Linked DNA regions of Arabidopsis thaliana. The protein of the gene in region 1 interacts with the protein of each later gene in a biochemical or structural test. Each region holds a gene or a part of one and is shown in the gene's direction. Other genes may lie near its edges.

Region 1 (4,818 bases):
CTCTGTAAATAATAGCCAAGAAAGAAAATGTTAAATCTTTGTTTCAAAGCAATATGATTTAAAGAGAGTAGAGAAAGATTAACTACTTTTGCGATGAATTGGAGCGTTCTCGTCTGGGAAGATCATTTGTTGAAGAGCGTTCATGTTCGCCATATGGTTTTAACTGTGAATCATCAAAGAACCAATTGCAGAAACGAAGATTTGATTCCAGAACTGACGATTTTAAGCAATTAGAAACCCTAAAAAAGGTAACAGAAACCCAACTCGAAATCGAAACAAAGATCGTTTTTTTCACAAAACCCAATTCGATCCTCAAGCAAATTTAACACCACAGACCCCAGAAACCCAGAACGAATCAAGTAGCGACATACGAAAAGAAGAACAAACAATCGCAAGAAGAACAGTCTATAATGTGAACCTAAATCAGAAGGAAGAAAGAGATTACCTTTGTAAAAGTGAAGAAGTTTCTTGGTGAGATTCTTGTTGGAAGAGAAGTGTATAAGAAGATGAAGAAGAGCGCTTAGAGTGTTTAACGGTAACTTTTCAATGTTGTTCTGACGAAATAATGAAGAACCTCCGGGATTAGGCCAAAAAAAGTAAATTTATAGAAGAAGAGAAAAAGTTTCTAGCCGTTGGCAGAATATTTTAATGCAGGCCTAATCAAGAATTGGCCCAGGTACAGGCCCATCACATAAATCAAATTGACGGCATCAAACTATCATGTAAGATAGAAGCAAAACATGTCACACTTCTCTAAGTTATCTTCTTATCGGCTAGATTTATCATCATCCTTGATTAAATCTCCTTAATTTTGGAAGGTTAAATTATAGGTAAAGTGTATATAATTAGTCTAACCAAGGATATTCAACGCTTCTCGTTCCTGTTCCTTATATAAAACCATTATCCTCACATAAAGAAGACTTAACAAAAAAAAAACTCTTTTCAAAACACATTAGAGACAATTAACAAGAAAAACCCTTCTAATAATTTGATCAGAGATATGGGTTTTTCGCACAAGTTGTGGGATGAAACTTTGGCCGGTCCAACGCCGGAAAATGGTCTCGGGAAGTTGAGAAACCACATATCCGGTGAAAGTGCCAACCGGAAGTTGATGGTGGATCTGAAACGTGTCCCGAATTCTCCTGACCGTTCAAGCAACCCCGTTTCCCCTTTGACTCTTATGTTACCTTTTTTAAAAATCCTTTCTGATCCACTTTTTTTTTATCTTCTATGCTTGTGTTATGAGCAGTTAAAACCCTATATATTCATGTAAATTAAAGACTTTGCAAGGTGATACATATGTTCATAGTCATTATAAGCTTTTTTTTATTATTTTTTTTTTTTATTTTGACATCCATAATCATTATTAGCTTGAGAGTATTATGGATTTGTAAATTAATGATTACCAAAATCATTTGTATGCAGCTGGAACACCAAGTGAAACACATGCTACAAGTCTCAATGCTTGCGATTGGTTTGATCTCCCTCTCTTTTCTTTCCTCTCAAACTATACTTCATTTTATCCAACGCATTATCGCTTTCATTAGTACCACCATATCTAATTAACGTCCGGTAATACTGCAGGATTGTGCTAAACGCATTGGACCGTTGAAAAATATTACAAGGTATTTCTACGAGAAGAAGAAGTATCCCAAACTACTTTTCTTTGTATATATATATTTGCTGTGTACATAACATAATGGTCGCTTTTGGTGTTTTGAGATTTGAGAAATATTAAATTTCTGTTTGTTTCACAATTCACGAAGATTATATAAGGTCTTTTTGAAACATAGTATTTCTGGAATGTTTAAAGTTGTATCTTTGACAATGGTGAAAAGAAAAAATGATACTAAGTGATAACATGCTAACGTAGCGTATGGAAAGCCCAATAAAAACCCATGCCCAAAGTAAATAACATCCACGTCACCGTTCTTATTGTTAAAAGAGAGACTAATTCGAATCGATTTAACGAATGAAGCAAGACAACGAAGGAAGACAACTGGAAACTATCGACGGACTAAAAAAAGTCTACGACCGATATTGAAACTGACGGTTAGGCTAAGGGTAATTTCGGTACATCACCGGAAAAATGGTTCACGGGGATAGTTCCGGTAATTATAGTAAAACTAGATGGGCTTTTCCGTCAATACACTTCCTCATCGGATTACGAAGAAATGGGGAAATTACGATACAAACCCATCTTTTACCCCTAAACCGAGCCGGCAACTTTACCGGTGACGGAATCTTACCTCTGACCTACCAATCACGTCATTCCACGTCATCTCCCCGTATCTTCTCACGTCCTTCCACGTGTCCCCTCTACTCACCGACGCCGTCTCCTTCCCGTTTACCCCTCCCGAACAGAATATTAACCCAAACCCTAACCCTATCTCCCTCTTTCACGAGCTTCTGACTCAGATCCGGCGATATCGAATTCCATGGAGGACGATGAAGACATCCGATCTCAGGGTTCCGATTCACCTGATCCGTCTTCCTCCCCGCCGGCGGGACGAATCACGGTTACGGTGGCTTCGGCAGGTCCGCCTTCTTATTCTCTGACTCCTCCGGGTAATTCGTCGCAGAAGGATCCGGATGCGTTGGCTCTGGCGCTGCTTCCGATTCAGGCCAGCGGTGGAGGGAATAACAGCAGTGGGAGACCAACCGGCGGCGGCGGGAGGGAGGATTGTTGGAGCGAAGCAGCTACGGCTGTGTTGATTGATGCGTGGGGTGAGAGATACTTGGAGCTTAGCAGAGGGAATCTGAAGCAGAAGCACTGGAAAGAGGTGGCTGAGATTGTGAGCAGCAGAGAGGATTACGGTAAAATTCCCAAAACTGATATACAGTGTAAGAATAGGATCGATACGGTGAAGAAGAAGTATAAACAAGAGAAGGTGAGAATCGCTAACGGCGGTGGCCGTAGCAGATGGGTGTTCTTCGACAAGCTTGACCGTCTGATTGGATCAACGGCGAAGATCCCGACGGCAACTTCTGGAGTCAGCGGTCCTGTCGGAGGATTGCATAAGATTCCTATGGGTATTCCAATGGGAAGTCGTTCGAATCTGTACCATCAGCAAGCTAAGGCTGCAACACCGCCTTTCAATAATCTTGACCGGTTAATTGGAGCTACGGCTAGAGTCTCAGCTGCTTCTTTCGGTGGCAGTGGTGGAGGAGGCGGAGGAGGATCTGTCAATGTACCTATGGGAATTCCGATGAGTAGCCGTTCAGCTCCGTTTGGACAGCAAGGGAGGACTCTGCCACAGCAAGGTAGGACACTGCCACAGCAACAGCAGCAAGGGATGATGGTGAAAAGGTGTAGTGAGTCGAAACGCTGGCGTTTCAGGAAGAGGAACGCTTCTGATTCAGACTCGGAATCTGAAGCAGCAATGTCAGATGATTCCGGTGACAGTTTACCACCTCCTCCTCTGTCGAAGAGGATGAAGACGGAGGAGAAGAAGAAGCAAGATGGTGATGGAGTGGGGAACAAATGGAGGGAGCTGACTCGGGCAATCATGAGATTCGGTGAAGCTTATGAGCAAACAGAGAATGCGAAACTGCAACAGGTGGTTGAGATGGAGAAAGAGAGGATGAAGTTCTTGAAGGAGCTTGAGTTGCAGAGAATGCAGTTCTTTGTGAAGACTCAATTGGAGATATCACAACTTAAGCAGCAACATGGGAGGAGAATGGGAAACACCAGTAATGATCATCATCACAGCCGCAAGAACAACATCAATGCGATTGTCAACAACAACAACGATTTGGGTAATAACTAGAATTTAGTGATGCAGTGTCGTAATTGATATATTTTAGATTTGAGTCTTTAATTGTTGAAAGAGAAACTGAAACTTATCTAGGCTTCATGAGTGTATTAATATTTTGCATATCTTTCTTAACTTTGGTCATATGGAACAGATTTAACTTCACTAGATTGCCTGAGATCATTCTGCTGCAGACTCTTGTGCACGTTTTTGAACTTCTCTTAATCTCTGAGTTAGATTGTGTTTCACTAGTTAGGTTAGAACATGGCATAGGACATTTTTGACACAATCCAACCGCAAAATCTTAAAGCTATGTTTGGTTATTATGACATTGGAGATTTGCATGTGTACCTAAAAGCATTTTTTTAACTCTTTTTCTTTTGAGTAATTGTTTGAGCTAGATTTTCTTGTGTCTGAAGCATCATTCAAACCACCAATGATGATCTTCTATAAAAGAAGAATGTTAGGCAAGAAACCTTTTCGTTGGTCTGTTTATTTATTTTTCTATGATGTTTGCCTTTTGGCATTTTATAGGTACTAAACAAATGACAGTCAATTCAAATTCATTACACATAGATGTTTCTCACAATTTTACCTTCCGCACTAAGCTAATATTCATGTATCGAAAGGTGAATCATGATATTTGAGTAAAAATACCATCTTCCGAGTCCCACCGTAACATCATTCTAACTTGCACTATTCTTATTTTTTTTTGAAACGAATACAATAATGAAAACGTAAGAAATAAAGCATCTTGAAATCTTCTGAATTTTGTTTTTGTTTTAGGTAGAAAAGAGTTTGATTCCAAAGGTCCACGTGTGTTTAGACATATAGATTAGATATTATCTAATGATATATTGGTATCACTAGGATTACTAATCAAGATTTTTCCTTAGTAAAGTTCAAAATAAAGTTTTTTTTTTCAAAATAAAGTTTTTTTTTGGAACTAAATCTAGCAATAAAAGTAGTGATTACTAAAGAAATAGTAAATTATTAATGTAACAAATGAATATTCTTTTTTTTTTTTTAAAGTGGGCAAGAAAAGATACCAAAAAGAAAGAAA
Region 2 (4,920 bases), about 16 Mb from region 1:
TATAAAACTTATTAACAGATTTGGTGGACATGAGGATGATCCGATTATAAAAGTAGGGCATTGTTAGTTGGTTTATTGTTCACAAAATTAGGCTTTGCTTTGGGGTTCGAGGTTGATGGTTTGAGTACAGTTTAACTTTGAGAGATTGTTTGGACTTTATTTTTCCCGGGGCTAATATCTAATTGCTTTAGCAACAGCTTCATCAGCATGATAAAATTCGCCTTCGGAAACCATCTTGTTTCGATTCCTCCAAACCTTATGGCTTGAGAATTACTAATCTTGTGATATAGTATTTACAATACATGACATACCATTTGAGTTCAAGGTAAGAGTGTCTCCAGAATTTTGTTCTTGCAACCACAGGAGTGATATGTCATTATAGACTTCATTATAGAGATGACTTGTTCATAAGAGAAATGGTCAGGTTTGGTATATGTTCAGAAAATGTGTTTGAAGTGAAAAATGTATATGCAAGAATTTTTAAAAAAATTGAAGTTCAAAACCTCCACATCTAGTATCCAAACACTTTAAACACGTGTACCAGCCTTATGTTAAAAAGGGCAAAGATAGATCAGCGTCAACATAATAACCTCGTACGGCACAACCCTTCCCTTCTTTTCTTTGTTTAATTGTAAGCCAGGAAAAGTTTCACTTTCAAGTTTCAAAGTTGTGTGTCTGCTTCTTCTGAAACTGTACTACTTTATTTACTTTCCATTTGCGAGGGCATTTTAGTCAGTAACCATAAATAAAATGGCTTGTTCATTTCCTTTGGGCTTCTTTACAAGATCTAGTGATCCAATGGCTTGTAGGTCCCACAAATATAGCCGTTAGGAGGAGAAGTGAAGGAGCGGAGCGGTTTGTTGTTCGTGTGTCGTGTCCATTAGGCAGCTCCGACGCATTAAACGAAGCTGGTCTGCAAGAATAAAATAAAATTATGTTGTCTGCTTTATTTGTTACTTTATTCGGAAGAACAATACTTTGATCTCTTTCCTTAGATTTGGAATAAAATTAAATAATGTTGACCTCACATACAAACAACTAAGAGCTATAAAAAAAAGATTCCAAGAAAACAACTGGTAAATTTGAATGTAAGTAATATATTACTGGTTCAAATTCGAAGCATGATAGTACTCTTGACAAATCAAAATTTTTGTTTTTGTAATACTAGTAAATTTTTCATCTTTGTCAGAACCAACATGTTTGTATTGTGATTAATGATTTTTTATCGTTTTTTGATACTTAGTTAACAAAATCTACCTTTATGTATTAGTAATTCCAAATTCCCAATGAAATCCATATACTAGTATTTTACTAAACACTGTTAAACAAAATGACATGAGCAAGAGCAACCCATCGAACAAAACAAAGTGTTTTCAAAACACTATTAAACACAAGTAACTAATATGAATAAATGAAACTAGCCGTTGGAGCCCATTTACTAATATTAGGCCAGAACAGAGAGATCCACTGTTCCCACCCCCCAACCTCTTATTACCATCACCTGATCTTTGTCTCCCTTCTCTCTCTTTCTCTCACTTCTCTCTCACTACAAGATAAAAGAACACAGACCAAGATTCTCTCTCTCTCTCTAAGATGGTCACGTGCTCTGTTGTTCTTTTCCAACGAAACCCATCTCTCTCTTTACAAAACTCTTTCAAATCCAAAATCTTTCCCTGTTCCATCCTCATCACAACTACTATTCACCCATAAAGAACTCCAATTATCTTCTTTCTTCTCTCTTCTTCTTCTTCTTCATCTTCTAATGGAGTTTATCACCCAAAACCAAGCTATTACTTCTCTGAGTATGATCAACACCGACATTGATCAACCTAAGGCTTCACTTCGAAGCCGATTTCTCCTTCATCTAATCATATGCCTCCTCTTCTTCGTCCCTCCCTGCTCAAGCCAAGCCTGGGATGGTGTAGTGATAACACAAGCTGATTACCAAGGTCTTCAAGCAGTTAAACAAGAACTGATTGATCCAAGAGGCTTCTTGAGAAGCTGGAACGGTTCTGGATTCAGTGCTTGCTCTGGAGGCTGGGCTGGAATAAAATGTGCTCAAGGTCAAGTCATCGTCATTCAACTTCCATGGAAGAGTCTTGGAGGTAGAATCTCTGAGAAAATCGGACAGCTTCAAGCTCTTCGTAAGCTTAGTCTTCATGACAACAACCTTGGAGGTTCGATTCCAATGTCATTGGGACTCATTCCTAATCTTAGAGGAGTTCAGCTTTTCAACAACCGTCTCACTGGCTCAATCCCTGCTTCTCTCGGTGTATCACATTTCCTTCAAACGCTTGATCTCAGCAATAACTTGCTCTCTGAGATTATTCCACCGAATCTTGCTGACTCTTCTAAGCTTCTTAGGCTTAATCTCAGCTTTAATTCACTGTCTGGTCAAATCCCAGTGAGTCTCTCTCGGTCTTCTTCCCTTCAGTTTCTTGCTCTTGACCATAACAACCTCTCTGGTCCAATCTTAGATACTTGGGGTAGTAAGTCTCTTAATCTCCGTGTCTTATCTCTTGATCACAACTCTCTCTCTGGTCCGTTCCCATTTTCACTCTGCAACTTAACTCAGCTGCAAGATTTTTTCCTTTAGTCATAATAGGATCCGTGGAACCCTACCCTCTGAGCTAAGCAAACTCACTAAGCTTAGAAAAATGGATATTAGTGGTAACAGTGTTAGTGGCCATATCCCTGAAACCCTAGGGAACATTTCTTCTCTTATACATTTGGATTTGTCTCAAAACAAACTCACCGGAGAGATTCCTATTTCGATTTCTGACCTGGAAAGCCTGAACTTCTTCAATGTCTCTTATAACAACTTATCTGGTCCTGTTCCTACTCTCTTGTCCCAAAAGTTCAATTCCTCTTCTTTTGTCGGGAACTCACTGCTTTGCGGATACAGCGTTTCGACACCATGTCCTACTCTTCCTTCACCGTCTCCTGAAAAAGAAAGGAAACCATCCCACAGGAATCTGAGTACCAAAGACATCATCCTCATTGCGTCTGGAGCACTCCTCATAGTTATGCTTATCCTTGTTTGTGTTCTATGTTGCTTGCTGAGGAAGAAAGCCAATGAAACCAAAGCCAAGGGCGGAGAGGCTGGACCTGGAGCTGTAGCCGCAAAGACTGAGAAAGGAGGGGAAGCTGAAGCTGGAGGTGAAACTGGAGGGAAGCTGGTTCATTTTGATGGACCAATGGCGTTTACTGCAGATGATCTTTTGTGTGCAACAGCAGAGATAATGGGGAAAAGCACTTATGGGACTGTGTACAAAGCTACACTTGAAGATGGAAGTCAAGTAGCAGTGAAGAGATTGAGAGAAAGATCACCAAAAGTCAAAAAGAGTTTGAGAATGAGATTAACGTCTTGGGAAGAATCCGGCATCCGAATCTCCTTGCACTCAGAGCTTATTACTTAGGCCCTAAAGGAGAGAAGCTTGTCGTCTTCGATTACATGTCTAGAGGAAGCCTTGCCACGTTTCTCCATGGTAAGTTTGATACTAAAGTCTTAAAGTTAAAGACAATTTTGCTTTACAAGTACCATTTTGTAACTCTGTTTTCATATTTGAAATTGCAGCAAGAGGACCAGATGTACATATCAATTGGCCTACAAGGATGAGCTTAATAAAGGGAATGGCTCGAGGCTTGTTCTACCTTCACACACACGCAAATATCATCCACGGAAACTTAACATCAAGCAATGTGCTTTTGGATGAGAACATAACCGCGAAGATCTCAGATTACGGTCTCTCAAGGCTAATGACAGCAGCAGCAGGATCCAGCGTGATTGCAACAGCTGGTGCGTTAGGTTACAGAGCACCTGAGCTCTCTAAGCTGAAGAAAGCCAACACGAAAACCGATGTGTACAGCCTCGGTGTGATCATATTGGAACTGTTGACTGGGAAATCTCCGAGTGAGGCCTTAAACGGTGTGGATTTGCCTCAATGGGTTGCTACTGCGGTTAAAGAAGAGTGGACTAATGAGGTTTTTGATTTGGAGCTGTTGAATGATGTGAACACAATGGGTGATGAGATTTTGAATACACTGAAACTGGCTTTACATTGTGTTGATGCTACACCATCAACAAGACCTGAAGCTCAACAAGTGATGACACAACTTGGAGAGATTAGACCGGAAGAGACAACAGCAACAACATCAGAACCGTTGATTGATGTCCCTGAAGCTTCTGCTTCCACAAGTCAATAGAAAGAGTGGAGAATTTTTGTAGTGTGGAAATGTTGCAGAGTAGTAGTTGATTTCTTTTGCAATTCTTTAATTCTTCCAAGTTGTTTTTTTGTTCTTTGTTTGTTTCAGTGTTTTGAACCATTTCTTCATCAGTTTATGTTTGTAAATAGTGTCTCTTTCATCAAGTAGTCTCTGTCTTTTGAGCACAGTGAAAAATTTGGGTTTTGAAGAAGGTACTACTAGAAATGAGTTTCACCATCTACAGTAAAAATTTAGGTAAGTTTTAAAGCACCATTTACACCATATACTGAAAAGGAGAGGACATTGAGAAGATTCAAACAACTAACCAAAGTCCAACAAGAATGAAAGTTTAGGTACCTATGTAAAGAATGAAAATGCTCACACATTTGCCAAAACATAAACACATAAGAGTACAAAGATACGCACTAGCCAGAAAAATGTAAACCAGTATATAATCAAAGTTAAAGCAACAGCCAACAAGTGCCAAGATTTCATTTTTAGAAGATGAAATGAAATGGATTTCAAAGATGGAATTCTTTTAATCTCAGGAGAGAAATTTGAGAATTTATAATTTTTCATGACTAATCAAATTGTTAAGGTTCGAGATTATTTAAATCCAATAAAATTTATATTAAAAAAAATTAGTATCACTCATAATAAATACAAGTATTAATAATTGTACAATTTAGAGAAATTTTGAACAGTCTAAAAAAT

The links.
Region 2: the proteins of ASIL2 (region 1) and MRLK form a complex in vitro, tested with the Arabidopsis thaliana proteins (one study listed by BioGRID).

Annotation. Positions count from the first base shown.
Region 1 is NC_003074.8:4,706,242-4,711,059, reverse strand, and holds ASIL2 (sequence-specific DNA binding transcription factor), read left to right. Parts: upstream 1-1,883; 5' UTR 1,884-2,438; coding exon 2,439-3,770; 3' UTR 3,771-4,258; downstream 4,259-4,818. Other genes in the region: AT3G14190 (uncharacterized protein), read right to left, coding at 1-2, 87-153. UniProt on the Arabidopsis thaliana protein: Transcription regulator that may repress the maturation program during early embryogenesis.
Region 2 is NC_003074.8:20,816,360-20,821,279, reverse strand, and holds MRLK (meristematic receptor-like kinase), read left to right. Parts: upstream 1-1,762; coding exon 1,763-2,493; coding exon of another isoform or gene 2,494-2,605; coding exon 2,606-3,419; coding exon of another isoform or gene 3,420-3,488; intron 3,489-3,577; coding exon of another isoform or gene 3,578-4,206; 3' UTR 4,207-4,359; downstream 4,360-4,920. UniProt on the Arabidopsis thaliana protein: Can phosphorylate AGL24.